3 linked regions of the Kluyveromyces lactis genome follow. The protein of the gene in region 1 purifies or fractionates together with the protein of each later gene. This does not show direct contact. Links are inferred from orthologs where the notes say so. Each region holds a gene or a part of one and is shown in the gene's direction. Other genes may lie near its edges. The genes, in order: ENP1, NOP58 and LCP5.

The links.
Region 2: the proteins of ENP1 (region 1) and NOP58 purify together in Saccharomyces cerevisiae (affinity purification with mass spectrometry; 4 studies listed by BioGRID). This does not show direct contact. The link is inferred for Kluyveromyces lactis from reciprocal best matches to the Saccharomyces cerevisiae genes ENP1 and NOP58.
Region 3: the proteins of ENP1 (region 1) and LCP5 purify together in Saccharomyces cerevisiae (affinity purification with mass spectrometry, with the first as the bait; 3 studies listed by BioGRID). This does not show direct contact. The link is inferred for Kluyveromyces lactis from reciprocal best matches to the Saccharomyces cerevisiae genes ENP1 and LCP5.

What each region holds. Positions count from the first base shown.
Region 1 is NC_006042.1:636,919-641,664, forward strand, and holds ENP1 (snoRNA-binding rRNA-processing protein ENP1), read left to right. Parts: upstream 1-1,692; coding exon 1,693-3,129; downstream 3,130-4,746. Other genes in the region: SRM1 (Ran guanyl-nucleotide exchange factor), read right to left, coding at 1-1,025; SNAP receptor USE1, read right to left, coding at 3,343-4,125. UniProt on the Saccharomyces cerevisiae protein: Required for normal export of the pre-40S particles from the nucleus to the cytoplasm.
Region 2 is NC_006042.1:800,554-805,542, reverse strand, and holds NOP58 (RNA-processing protein NOP58), read left to right. Parts: upstream 1-2,384; coding exon 2,385-3,920; downstream 3,921-4,989. Other genes in the region: RPL20B (60S ribosomal protein eL20), read left to right, coding at 1-245; DGK1 (diacylglycerol kinase), read left to right, coding at 860-1,711; U4/U6-U5 snRNP complex subunit SNU66, read left to right, coding at 4,280-4,989. UniProt on the Saccharomyces cerevisiae protein: Required for pre-18S rRNA processing. May bind microtubules.
Region 3 is NC_006041.1:1,204,285-1,209,139, forward strand, and holds LCP5 (small subunit rRNA maturation protein LCP5), read left to right. Parts: upstream 1-2,562; coding exon 2,563-3,750; downstream 3,751-4,855. Other genes in the region: rRNA-processing protein NSA2, read right to left, coding at 1,550-2,335; VFA1 (Vfa1p), read left to right, coding at 4,044-4,661. UniProt on the Saccharomyces cerevisiae protein: Component of the U3 small nucleolar ribonucleoprotein. Required for the early cleavages at sites A0, A1 and A2 of the pre-ribosomal RNA. Participates in ribosome biogenesis.

The sequences.
Region 1 (4,746 bases):
ATTAGAGTGTGATGTTCTCCAGCAGAAACAGAATCGATTTCAACTCCTTCTGGCAAAATGACCTCAGTAGGAACACTTACCAAGGACCCATCTTCTAATTCTGTAGATATACCACATTGCCCGAATTGATTAAGACCCCACGAGTACAGTTTACCGTCCGTGGAAAGGGCAAATGAATGATTTTCACCCGATGAAATATACTTTATGTTATCCAACCCAAATGGTCTTGGATCTAAAGTTCTCAAACGAGAACGTTCCAAAATTCTTCTACCTAATTGTTGCTGTTGACCATTACCCCAGGCGTAAACAATACCAGTTTCATCCAAGAACAATATATGATCTTTCCCAGCAGCCATTTGAACAATCTTGGCTTTCTTGGAGAAGTTAGGGATTATCCAAGGGGTTTTCTGGACGGTAATCTCATCTCTGTAGAAACCTAAAATACCTTCGTTACAACGGAAGGTACCCCAAGCGTAAACGTCACCATTTTCAAATAGAGCAGCAGATAGATTGTCTGTGGCAGCAATCTGTACACATCTTAATTCGTCCAATGGTAAAGAGTCTCTAGGAATTTTAGTTGGAGTGGATTCAATTTCGTTGAGGTCACCATCTTCATCATCATCACTATCATTTGCATCCATATCTTTCAATTTTTCTACAGCTCCGCTAGTGTCTCTACCCAAAGCACCTGAGTCGTTAGTCCCCCACGACCAGATGTTATTGTCAGCGTCTAGCGCTAGGGTGTGCATTCCACCTGCAGCAAAAGACACAATTTTAGCCTCATCACGGGGCAAAAGGGGATTGAGTCTAGGTCTCTTAACTTCTTTGTTTTTAGCTAGAGGACCCAAGCCTAGTTCACACATTGATCCAGTTCCCCATACAAAAATGTCAAGTGGAACAACAGATCTATACAAATGTTTATAATCATCTTGAGAATTGATGCTAACAAACTTATGATTCAAAGTAGAGTGTAAATGCTTCCTTTTAACTGGAGTGTTCGCTACACTAGAAGATCTTTTAGACATGATTTCTTCAGTAACTGGTGGTCAATTAAAAGATTAATTGGAAGGGCCTAGTCTAATGTTAATTGTAACTTTGCTAAGATTGCAAGGAACGAAAAAAACGGAAATGAACACTTGGTTTTTGATCAATCGATAAGTACAACTCAAGGGAGAAGCTTGAGTGAACAAGAGACCAGCAATGTGTCACCACGCATATGAGATCACATTACACTTGATCCATTGTTAATTATATATACGTAAAACGAATCTAAGCTGCAGTTGAAAAATCTTTCCAGATTTTAAAGTCACGTGCAAAACAAACAACATTCTTTGCCTGTAATCATTAGAAGAACATAGCTCTTGGCTGTTTACAGTAGCTTGAATTTGTGTTCAACGCTGTGGCATATCTGTTTCAATCACGACGATCCCGCTGCCAATGCTCCAGAGTTATTTAATTGAACCTTTGACTTCTCTAAACAGAGTATCTCTAGCCTTTCTTTTTCTGTCCGTGCATTGACTGAAAATTTTTGGGATTTGAATAAGTAACGATGAGATGAGAAGCGATGAGATGAGATGAGATGAGATGAGATGAGGTAAATGGCAGATAACAATCACAAAATTACTCATTAGTGTCTGCTTTAGTGCTCAGAATACGACTAGTGATACAAGATTTATTTGTTCTACGGAGAAAATGGGTAAAGTAATGGGTGGCAGCGGTCGTAAACAGAGACACGATCCTTTATTGAACGATCTTGACTCTCAACATGGTAAGTTGAAAAGACAAGGTAAGAAAAAGATCGATGCTAAGGATCAAAAAGGCCATGAAGATGAAGAATTTGTCGATGCCCAGCAATCTAGAAAAATTTTGCAATTAGCTAGGGAACAGCAGGAAGAATTAGAGGAAGAGGACGAGCAGTCTCTGCAGACATCCAGCCAAGGAATAAACAGATTCTGTGTGGCCAACTATGCGGATGAAGATGATGTAGCTGAGGAAGAGGAAGCTCAAGGTAATAACATATCTGACTTTGAACCGGAAGATGAAGACGATTTCGAAGGATACGAGGAGGAAGAAGTGGTAGAAATTGACGAAGAAGATGCTGAAATGTTTGACCAATATTTCAAGACTTCTGCTGATTTCAACTCTGCCAATGGATCATATAACCTTGCCGATAAGATTATGGCTTCTATTAGAGAAAAAGAGATGGAACTACAGTATAATGAAGAAGAAGCAGGTGATGCCTCTGCAGTAGCGGAACCAGCTGCACCTGTAGATCGTACAGAAGGTGTCGCCTTACCACCCAAGGTGATTCAAGCATACCTTGCCGTTGGTACCATTATGCAGACCTGGAGACATGGTAAACTACCCAAACTATTCAAAGTTTTGCCTTCTCTAAATAACTGGCAAGATGTTCTCTATGTTACTAATCCAGAGGAATGGTCTCCGCATGCTATATACGAAGGTACTAAACTTTTTGTTTCTAACTTATCATCTAAAGAGGCCCAAAAATTCGTTATAGCTGTGTTGTTACCACGCTTCAGAGAAGAAATTGAATTTAACGAAGATCACAACTTAAATTACCATGTCTACCGTGCATTAAAGAAATCATTGTATAAACCGGCTGCCTTTTTCAAAGGGTTCTTATTCCCACTTGTGGAATCCGGTTGTAATGTTAGAGAAGCTACCATTGCTGCAAGTGTGTTATCCAAGGTCTCTGTGCCAGCTCTTCATTCTGCTGCAGCATTGTCCTACCTTTTAAGATTACCTTTTTCCCCAGCCACCACCGTTTTCATCAAAATTCTACTCGAGAAGAAGTATGCTTTGCCTTATCAAACTGTTGACGAATGTGTCTTCTACTTCATGAGATTCAGAGAAGTCACTGATGGAAGTACAGGCCAAGATGCCGTCAGAGTCTTACCTGTGGTATGGCATAAAGCTTTCTTAGCGTTTGCTCAACGTTATAAGAATGATATTACCCAAGATCAAAGAGATTTCCTACTTGAAACTGTTCGTCAAAGAGGTCACAAAGAAATTGGACCTGAAATCAGAAGAGAATTATTAGCCGGTGATAGTAGAGAATTTGTCAGTGATGTTGGTAATAAAGCTGATTTAATGTTTGATGTTCTGTAGTCAATAGTCCTATAACAATATAAGTGCCTGTCAATTTTAAACAAGTGTATAATATGCAATTATAGATAAGACAATCAATAGAATCAATCTATTCGATAAGTGGAAACGGTATCAATTAATTTCATCGAATATTCATGAGTCTATTTTGTACTTTGAAGCTTTTGAGTGAAGCAGAGCCTTTATCTAAATCTTGGAGATTTTAGCGGAAGACACTCATAAATCTGGAAATACTTTTATTACAAGATAGGTGACCAATAGACCAATTATAATAAACGATAAAAGTCCTAACTTCATTAAAAATCCAATTTTTTCATTGTGATACTTTTTCAATCTGGATCCGAGTGAAGAAAGGCTCTTAGAAGTAACATGCAATCCGATTTCTGCTGCCTTAAGAACAGTAGAGTCGTGTTCGATAGCATTCTGGAAAGCTTCCGCACCTTGTCTTAAGCCTGAAACTAGCTGGGACATGTCTTCAACCAGTTCCTTCTGAAGATCATCCTGAATTTGCATTTGTTTGTCAAATGATTCACCCTCCGTATCAGCGCTGTCCCTTCTTTTACCCATAAGCCTTTGGCGGAGCTCCTTCAAAGAATCGTTGTCATTAATTGCTTCAACATTGGATATTATATCAACATCGTCCTCATCTCCTATAGGCACGTCGGGCGTTGCATCGAAATCAACACTATATCGCCTTTTCTTTTGAGATTCCTGATATGCATCATATTTCTGTTGCAACTTAGAAGCTTTGGAGAAACTGATAGAGCTAACCGATTCCTCTAGTCTGCTAAAGTTTTTCTGGTATCTATCAATAGCATCAGAAGACGGATCATCCAAGTTATCCTTTATAGCCAGTTTTCTCACGGTATTTAAGTTTGTGGCCAGTTTTGTAGATATAAGATAATGGTAAAAAGGGTCTTCGTCATCTTGAAAGAGCGAAAGGTCCCTGTAATAATTTTTGCGTAGTTGATCACTTAATGTGTCTAAATCTGTCGTCATATTCCGTCAGTTAATGTCCTTTAACGAGGCGCTATCCCTTTTTATTTGTGATTGGAATTGTACTAAGTATTATTTTAAAGGCTATATTACATTTTGTTTTATGTCACTAAAATATTATCCCAAACCTCAATCAAAGAAATAACAGAGCTGTCTGAATGAAAGTCATTCACTCTGAAGCATGACCCTTGCCAACCCTTACAAAAGCGCATGTAAGAAAGAGTGGACCGAGTGCTACTTAATGTATCTACCGATGGTAAGTATAACATAAGGCTGAACTTGGTTAACTATTGCTAAATCTTATTGATATACAAATTCATACGACTCTCATAATATTTCAGAGGAAACTACTGAACCAATTAAATGGGTAATATTTCCGCCCACCTACTATCAAACTACAAACTGTAGGAATTCAGTTGTTGTTAGCGAAAAGGGCGTTAAATGGGAGTATCCCAGCTCTGGGCATCTTGAGCTTACTTCTACATGCGTGGAATAAGTCTGCGCCATGATAACCACAACGCGAACCATAATTGAACATGCCGAAATGTGTTTAAGAGCCCTTGTTTGCTGAGCTAGGAACCAAAAAGATAACCACAAATGACAAGAATACTTATCAACTGGACC
Region 2 (4,989 bases), about 160 kb from region 1:
AGGAAATCAGAGATGTTACCAGAGTTGGTGCCGTCGAATCTTTGTACCAAGACATGGCTGCCAGACACAGAGCTAGATTTAGATCTATCCACATCCTAAAGGTCGTCGAATTGGAAAAGACTGCTGACGTTAAGAGACAATACGTTAAGCAATTCTTGACCAAGGACTTGAAGTTCCCATTGCCTCACAGAGTTCAAAAATCTACCAAGGTTTTCGCTTACAAGAGACCAACCACTTTCTACTAAACTGCTGGGTACTAAAGTATATTTGTATTTACGATATCTTTCTTTATTGTATAAACCAGTAATTTGTCAATTATAGGGAAGTAATAAGAATCCATCATTTTGTTTTCATACATACACAGTAAGTATAGAAGTTCCTACTAATACAGTGATGCTGTACATTGATTAGTGGGTCCATAAGGAACCTCTGACGAAATGATGTTATGATGATTTTAGTGCGGGTAACATATAGCGTTTACTTGCCATGTGACTTCTTCACTTGTGAATTGATTTTTCGAGTGATAAATAAATAATCTGCGATAAATGATTCAAACATTTTAATGAAAGAAGCAATCGGTTGATGAGGTCAGTGTTTCAACTCATTGATCATGATGCAAGTTTTCTTCAACTGATCTATAATAGGTAACTTGTGCTCAAAACTGCAACTAAACTGGTAAACATTAGTTTCTACTGTCTTACTAAGGTTTGTCCGGTTATCGTTATTGTGTTCTGATTATTGATCTGGAACTTGACCACCATACGAAACACTTCCGATACGAACTGAAGTCAGAAATTCCAAAAGAAATCGACGAGATCCAATAGAGAAGAACATCCTAGCATTTTACTATTTTGAATAGATGGTTGACTACAATTCAAATGATTCTGGCAACGAAGCCGAGTTAAAACAGAGACTGAGTACTCCTAACGGAGTAAATACAAAGAAACAGAAGGAAACAGTTGTCTTGGGAAAGAGTCTGAGTGATGTTCATCTACCATTAACAGAAATTCATTTAAAGTCACATGAATGGTTTGGTGATTTCATTACAAAACACGAAATACCACGGAAACTATTCCATTCATCTATTGGTTTTATTACCCTATATCTTTACACTCAAAATGTTGATTACAAGAAAGTGAAATTTCCATTGATAGTAGGATTTACTGTCGTATTTATTTTAGACTTCATTCGTCTACGTTCTCCATTCTTCAATAAAATGTATTGTCGTTGTGTTGGGGCATTGATGAGGAAAAAAGAAATTCATACGTATAATGGAGTCCTATGGTACTTATTGGGCCTGACTTTTGCGTTCTCCTTTTTTAGTAAAGATATCGCGTTAATCTCACTGTTCTTACTAAGTTGGTCAGATACCGCTGCGTCTACTTTCGGTAGAAAGTACGGACACCTTACACCAAAATTGGCCAGAAATAAGTCTTTAGCAGGTTCCATTGCAGCCTTTTCCGTTGGTCTCATAACTTGTTACTCATTTTACGGATTCTTTGTGCCTCATTATAACTGGGTGAACAAACCAGGTGAAATCTCCTGGACCGAAGAGACAAGCAAACTAAACCTACTACAACTTTCGCTATTAGGTGGTTTTGTCGCAGCTTTGAGTGAAGGTATCGACTTGTTTAACTGGGATGATAACTTCACTATTCCAGTTCTATCCGCCATTTTCATGACAGCTGTCATCCGCATTTTCAAGAATTGAGGAGAGCGGTGCGTAGAGGCACCATTTACCATTACCTAGTTTGTATTTTACTTTTCGTGTTCCCTCCTCTTACCTTTACACTGAGCAGGCTTTTATCAAAACCTTCCTCACTGATGATGTACCACTTTCAATGATCGCATATGAAATTCAATCCCTTTGAATATTTGACTATAACCGGAGAACTTAAGATAGACGGGAGGAAATGACAGTTAATGATCACATTTCACACCTACATTTTTTGTATACAAGTCAATTGATTTGGCACATATATTCTACATCTCACCTTATGTATAGACTTGAATAAATTAAAAACTACCAGCAAATATTGTTTAATATACAACGTCTAGTTTGATGCTTTTGTGAACCGTATTGGCCATTGGAATGTGCTTGGTCTCGATATATGAAGAACAAACAGTGCAGTTCTTTATCTGGTCCCTTTATAACACGTGATTTATATATGTGGTGTCCAGATGTGTTTTCTTTTCATTTCTTTTTGAAATTTAACTAACATTGAAAAATTTTCGACAAGCTCATCTCATCAGTATTGAACTACAGAATGGTATTAACGTTTCGATTGAAGAATTAAGCACATCCATCATATCTACGATATCTCAAAGAACCCGTTGAATAATTAGGATCATCTAGCAACATACACATAAAAGACTTTTTAGCGATGGCCTACGTCTTGACAGAAACCTCAGCTGGGTATGCTCTTTTGAAAGCATCTGACAAGAAGATCTATAAGTCCTCTTCTTTGATTCAGGATTTGAACAGCAGTGACAAGGTCTTGAACCAATTCAAGATTGCTGCTTTCTCTAAATTTTCATCAGCTGCAAATGCTTTGGAAGAAGCTAACTCTGTGATTGATGGTAAAGTCTCTTCCCAATTGGAAAAACTGTTGGAAGAATGCAAGACCGACAAAAAGGCCACCTTAGTTGTTTCTGAAACTAAATTGGCAAACGCTATCAACAAGTTGGGTTTGAACTTCAACGTTGTCTCTGATGCCGTCACCTTAGATATTTACCGTGCAGTCAAGGAGTACTTGCCAGAACTTTTGCCAGGTTTGAACGATCAAGATCTTTCCAAGATGTCATTGGGTTTGGCTCACTCCATCGGTCGTCACAAATTGAAGTTCTCTGCTGATAAAGTTGATGTTATGATCATCCAAGCTATTGCTTTGCTAGACGATCTAGATAAAGAATTAAACACTTACGCTATGAGATGTAAGGAATGGTACGGTTGGCATTTCCCAGAATTGGCCAAGATTGTTACTGATTCTGTTGCTTACGCCAGAATAATCTTGACCATGGGTATTAGAGTTAATGCTGCTGAAACTGACATGTCTGAAATTTTGCCTGAAGAAATTGAAGAGAGAGTCAAGACCGCTGCCGAAGTCTCCATGGGTACTGAAATTACCCCAGTTGATTTGATTAATATCAAGTGTTTAGCCGAACAAATTGTTGAATTTGCTGCCTACAGAGAACAACTTTCTAACTATTTGTCTTCAAGAATGAAGGCTATTGCTCCAAATTTGACTCAATTAGTTGGTGAATTGGTTGGTGCTAGATTGATCGCACACTCTGGTTCTTTAATCTCTTTGGCCAAGTCTCCAGCTTCCACCATCCAAATCTTGGGTGCTGAAAAGGCTCTTTTCAGAGCATTGAAAACTAAGCATGACACTCCTAAATATGGTCTATTGTACCACGCTTCCTTGGTTGGCCAAGCATCTGGTAAGAACAAGGGTAAGATTGCCAGAGTTTTGGCTGCTAAGGCTGCCGTTTCTTTGCGTTACGATGCTTTGGCTGAAGATAGAGACGATTCTGGTGACATCGGTTTGGAATCCAGAGCTAAGGTAGAATCAAGATTGTCCCAATTAGAAGGCAGAGACTTGAGAACCACACCAAAGGTCGTCCGTGAGCACAAGAAGACTGAAATCACAGAGGCTAGAGCATACAACGCAGATGCTGACACCGTGTCTTCAGCTGCTGCTCCTGCTGACTCTGATGATGAATCCGAGGACGAGGAAGAAACCAAGGAAGAAAAGAAATCTAAGAAGGATAAGAAGGATAAGAAGAGAAAGAGAGACGATGATGAAGAGTCTAAGGAATCTAAGAAGTCTAAGAAGGAGAAGAAAGACAAGAAGGAAAAGAAGGAAAAGAAGGAAAAGAAAGAAAAAAAGGATAAGAAATCTAAGAAGGAAAAGAAATAGATATAGTATTCACATTAAAACCCCACTCTTTTGCATTAAATCTCTAATAACCTCGTATAAATCTGTTCCATTACATACGAACATACTATGTGTGTACCTCTGTAAATTAGTCTGTATCAAATTCAAACAAAATATAATAATTGAATTATTGTCATACGCTGTACTCTTCTTCTCATTGTCATCGTCAATGGCTTTGATAGTTACATCAAAATATTCACTGATGAAAATGTTGAAATATACAATTCTTAAATTCGGACAAGTTGGCGATGAGATGAGGCAGAAAGAAAGCAACAGGATTTGATAATAAGGATATTCGACCACAATACGAATTCTACGAGGCATACAGTTACTTCAAAGCCATGGGTAAGATTACTTCTATATCTTTGGAAGAAACAAATCGAATTAGGGCAAGTTTAGGTTTGAAGACTATACCTAGGCCCACTGAGACGTCAACAGAATCAAAAGAAGGTGCATCTGATACAAATAGGAAAGTACGAAGATCTAGTCAGCTAAGTTCACGTCCCTCCGAAAAGGATTGTGCTTCTGGAAAAATAAATGGAAGCGCTCAAGATCGTGATAAAAAGATTGGTCAACTAAAACAAAGAATATATGAATCAAAGGAAGCAGTGGACCAAAGAGCGACTACTGATAAAGAATCTATTGATGACTGGCTTTCCAAAATTGGGAAACCTATCACTCACAAAGAATCTTCTGCTGAAAATGCTACTGTACATGATGACATTACGCATCACCATATCCCAGTATCAGATGAACTGAAATCTATTGCTGAACAGAAAGCAGTCATTTTTACATTGAAAGAAACTTCAGTGACAAACGACGAAGAGAATATTGATGACGAAAACATATTAGAGAATGAGAAGCTAGTTCATGATAAACAGGATGCCAAAAATCTTAAGCTACGGCAATTGAATAAAGATAGAAAACTAAACAAAATCTCCATCTTTGATTACAGCGATGAGGCTAATGATACAAACTCAAGATCTGACATACCATTACACGACTCCTTAGTAAATGATAAACCATTACCTGTTCACCAGTCTCTCCCTAA
Region 3 (4,855 bases), on another chromosome or scaffold:
CACCAGACGAAAACAGGGACTTGGAGAGAAAAAAAAAAAAGCACAGTTTAGTCTAAACACAATCTGTTAGTATCTCAGCTGAATAGTATCCTCTTGTTCCCTCTACTCTTTTCTTTGAATGAAACCAAATTTAGTTCGCAGCTGATCTGGTACCAGATCTGGAAGCAAACAAATATAAAACAAGCGAAAGTATAAAAAGCCCACAAATCAGAAACTGATCTTTTGTCTAGCGTACCCTAAAACTCATAGGTCTGTTGTATACACCAGGAAAACCTCAAACAATTGTTCCAGTAACACGCTCTTCTTACAATGCAAACTCTCTGTGATTCTTGATTCTCTCTATTCTTATACGATTCTGATTCTTCCATACTATTCGAGGGATAATGAAAAATAATACTCAAGAAATACGTAGACGCCCGCGTAGGAAATATCTGCTTTCCTATTGCCCTGCCTAGCCAGACCGGGGGCGCCGCCCGCGGTCTAGGCAGATCAGATGAGCGTAGACAGGAATTTGAGAAAAATGATTCAGGGAAAACCAGGGTTGCTCACGTGCCGGACAATCTGTCTGGACAGACATTTTTCACGATCGAAATAGCTGTTAGGCAGAGAAGTCCACCGTGGCCAGGATTATTGTCCGGCACTTCTAAATCAGGACGAGAATGTGAATCAAAAAGAGGGTTGGATTGAGCGAAGAGGCTGGATCAAAGGTACTGTAGTCACCTGCAACAGTTCTAATATGAGAATCTGTATAGTGCTACTTTCAGTATCACTATAACAGTAATTTAAACGAGACTCAAGTTGGATCATTAATTGGCAAAAGCTTTCTGTAGATGCAGAACAGGGGGAAAGAAGGTAAAGGTTAATGGGTAAAGGGGCTGTCCGTTAGGACAAATTTCAATACATACTGGTGGGGTTTGGAAAAAGCACTGATTGCTTACGGATCAGTTTCTGTGGTGAAAACTAGAACGTAGATCCAGAAATCAATTTGATCTGGGGAACTACTTCGTTTCCAGTGGGATCAATGATGTTCTTTTCCTGAACAACGTCGACGCTAGTATCTGTATATGGACCAGTGCTAGAATCTGACCTAATAAGTGCTGTTTTGAAGGTAAGTTTGTGTATATCAAGCGCAAAGAATGTGTATGTATAATACTGAATATATATATATATATAGATAAAATTATTTGGTATGATTTGGTAGGGTAGTACCCTACTTTATTGTGAAACAATAAAGATGAATACTTAGGGTAACCTGAGGGTCCAGAAGGTCAATTGACACGACGTGTGAGTAGCAATTAGTTCAATGCATTGGAATAGCTGGTATCTCAACGGCAGCGAGGCATGAAATTGTCAGTCTCATTGGCTATAATTCAGTATTTAACGCTAAATATATGATTAAATAATGATGATTTAGCCAGTACTTTCTAATAAGGGAACTCAGTTCTAAAATGAAATAGTAATATACAATAACGTAGCGGAGTGGGGGGTGATGCAATAGGGAATAATTGAGATGAGTAGGAATTTTGGTAGTAATAGGTTGTACTTGTTCTTACACAAGTAGCACAGCGTTGACACAACCGTCTCTATCTGGCTCATTCGTGATTTGAGCATATTTACCCCAAACCACTTTACCACCAGAAGTAACCATACCTAATTCCGAGACGTTCACTTCAATAATAGTACCCTTGGTTAATACACCCAACTGTGTGTACATTGGCGATTGAGGATTCTTCTTCACCGCAAGAATTGGCAAGAAAACGGTGACTCCAAGTTCCGGATGCGTCACATTAGCCTTCTTTTGTCTCAAAGCACTAGGTCTGATAATCCTTTCCATCTTCACAGGCCTTCTTGTAAACCCTTCACCAACAAACGTATGTTTCGTGATCATTCTCTTCCATGCCTTAGACTTAGACTTACCTGTCTTAACAACTTTGAACATCTCTTCCTCACTGATACCTCTGACCTTAGGCAAAGGAACAGAAAACTTGTCAGCCTTCTCCAAACGCTTCTGCTTGATGGAACTGGATATAGCCTTTGCAGTGTTGTTCTGTTCTCTGTCTAACAAATAAGTAGGCAAAGCCTCCCCGTTCTCATCCAACGGTTTGGACCCTCCTTTAACTTTACTCTGCTCATGAGCACGGATCTTCTTCTTCATAGCAACCTTCTCAGCATAACGCTTCTTAGCAAATTGCTTACCCTTCCAACCAGTCAATTTCTGAGCCTTTTCAGAGATCTTATGAGCCTCACGGGCTTCTCTCTTACGTTTTCTCTCATCGTGGTCTAATCTACGACCATGTTGCTTGATGTGCTGTTCGATATATTCGTTTTGAGGCATCTTTGTTTTATTGTAAGAACGACTTGTTCGGTGATGACTTACTTCTAAATCACAAACGGACACACGGACTCCTTGAATGGACTTCTTACCACATGTTAACCCATGCGATGAGCTAGTTGTTCAAGTTGTCTTTGTATGCTTTTCTCATTGAAAGAAAAAAATTCAATAGGAAATGTCGAAAAGAAACGTAGTGAAAAAAAAAATTTGGAATCAAGCGATGAGATGAGATGAGATGGGTATCAGCCAGATACAAGTTTGGTTGTCTGGTGTGGGTTTGGCATAGGTTCGATCTACTGTTATTGATGTATAAAACCTCATTACATTCTATTGACAAGGGTTACAGCGGAAATATAGCCATGTCTGAGGAGTTAGGAACTGTTTTGAAAACGATTAGAGATTCTTTGAAATCTTGTGGAGAAAGCTTGGATAAGTTAGAAGAAGTCTATGATGATGAGGAGACCCATCCTTTCCAAGGTTCAGCGGTGGTAGGTCACAAAGGTGATAAATTAGAAAAAGTTTCTCTACTTTCTTTGAAGAATGGGAGTATGCTATCGTATTTGAATTCGCTTCTGTTGGTATTGGGACAGAAATTGAATAAAGAGATGGTTGTTGATGAGGGTAGAGTCAGGGCAGTGGAACAACGAGTTGTTCTTGAAAGAGGTGTGAAGCCCTTGGAGAAGAAGTTAGGGTACCAGCTGGATAAATTGACGCGGGCGTACATTAGACTGGAGAAAGACGTTGAAGAATCCAAGAAAAGAGCCGAATTGCAGGGACTGAGTGACGTACGTGCTTCCCAGGAAGAAGTATCAGACTCAGATTCTGATAGTGAAGAAGAGATGCAATATAGGCCGAACAGTTCAGGAATGGTCAATAACACATCAGTTGGAGGGAAAGCCAAGGGGAAAATCGCTGTCAAGAGTACTCACAATGAAGAAGATGTGGATGATAAAGATAACGTTTATAGACCACCTAAGATCAGTGCCGTTCTGCCACCAAAGCAACATCACTTCGAGGATAAATTCAACGCACAAGAACATAAGGATAAGAGTAGCAGGTCTCGTATGCAAGCTATGGAAGAATACTTGAAGGATTCCTCGGAACAACCGGAATGGGAAACTTCTATCGGTGCCAATATCGTCAACCATGGTAGAGGTGGTGTGAAGACAGCAAGAGATACAGAACGTGAACGTGATGTTCAAAGATTCGAAGAAGAAAATTTCACTAGATTGAACCCCAACGGATCCAAGACTGACAAGAGAATGAAAAAACAAAGAGAAATCATGGCCAAGGTTAATATGATCGCCGGTGAAGATTTCAGTATCTTCAACTCCAAGCGTAAGTTGGAGGATAGTACAAGCAGAAGAGGTAATAAGAAATCTAGAAATGCTTGGGAAAGAGCCAAGAAGAAGTTGTAAACCTGAGGTCCTTCTTTTTCTATGTATAAATAGGCTAAAATATCCATACGTCTCTATTGTCATCATATAGTGTCAAATACGTAGTTTATAAATCGAATGATAACGGTGTTGCACTGCTCAAACTCTAGCTTTGATGTGGTTTGTTTCGTTTCGTTTTGTCTCGTTTTCTTCATATCAAGGTGTAATCACCAATAATTAATTAATACAATCTAAGCGTTCCAACTTTGCAAGATATAATCACCACCTATCACCCCTACTAATCTCCTACCAGCGTACAACTTCCAGCGCCCCTGATGAAGAACGAATACACCAGAAAGAAAGTCTCAGCAAAGGATAGGAAAGCATGTCTGATATGTGGTAACCCTACAGTCACAGTTTTGTTCAATGGAAGCGGACCTGATTGGTTTTATACATGCGATATACATCTAGTTGATAACCCGCAGTTTGTACAGCCTCTATACCCAAAAGAGTATCACGAGTCTCTGGTTAGTCTTAAGCCACTCAAAGAACGCATAGAGGAGCTACAAAGGAAAGAGCGAGGTACCTGGGATCAATGGGTTAATAAGATCTTTGACTCTAAAAAGCCATCATCATCTGATGATAAGAAAGAGGACAGGGATGACGCGAGTTCTGACGACAAGAAGAAGACCGATGAAGCAAACTCACTTGAAGAATTGCAGCAAACGTACCAAGCGACACTTGATAAGCTAGCTGCATCAAGAGAGACGTGCAATAGATACACTCTACACGACCTAGTATTCCAATCAAGAGTCGACAGACTACGGAAACTGGCTCAATTAAAGGAAAAGAAACGTGTAGAGCAACAATCATACACCAACACCGACCCCAATCAACTATTACAATCGTTTTCGTTTCCTGAAGTCCCCAAGAACACCGTTAACAAGTCATGAGAGGACGGCCTAATATGCCTACCTCTTATGTCTTTTGTGCAATTCTATATCACGTGATTGATATCACGTCAAAAAGAAATTTCTGATCTTTTCAACTTTTCAATGAAAAGCTTTAAAGAAGCAGGACATAGTTAGATCCCATGCGATGAGCTTCAAACTAGAACAGAATACTTGCTGGTTTCAGGCGTTTCATC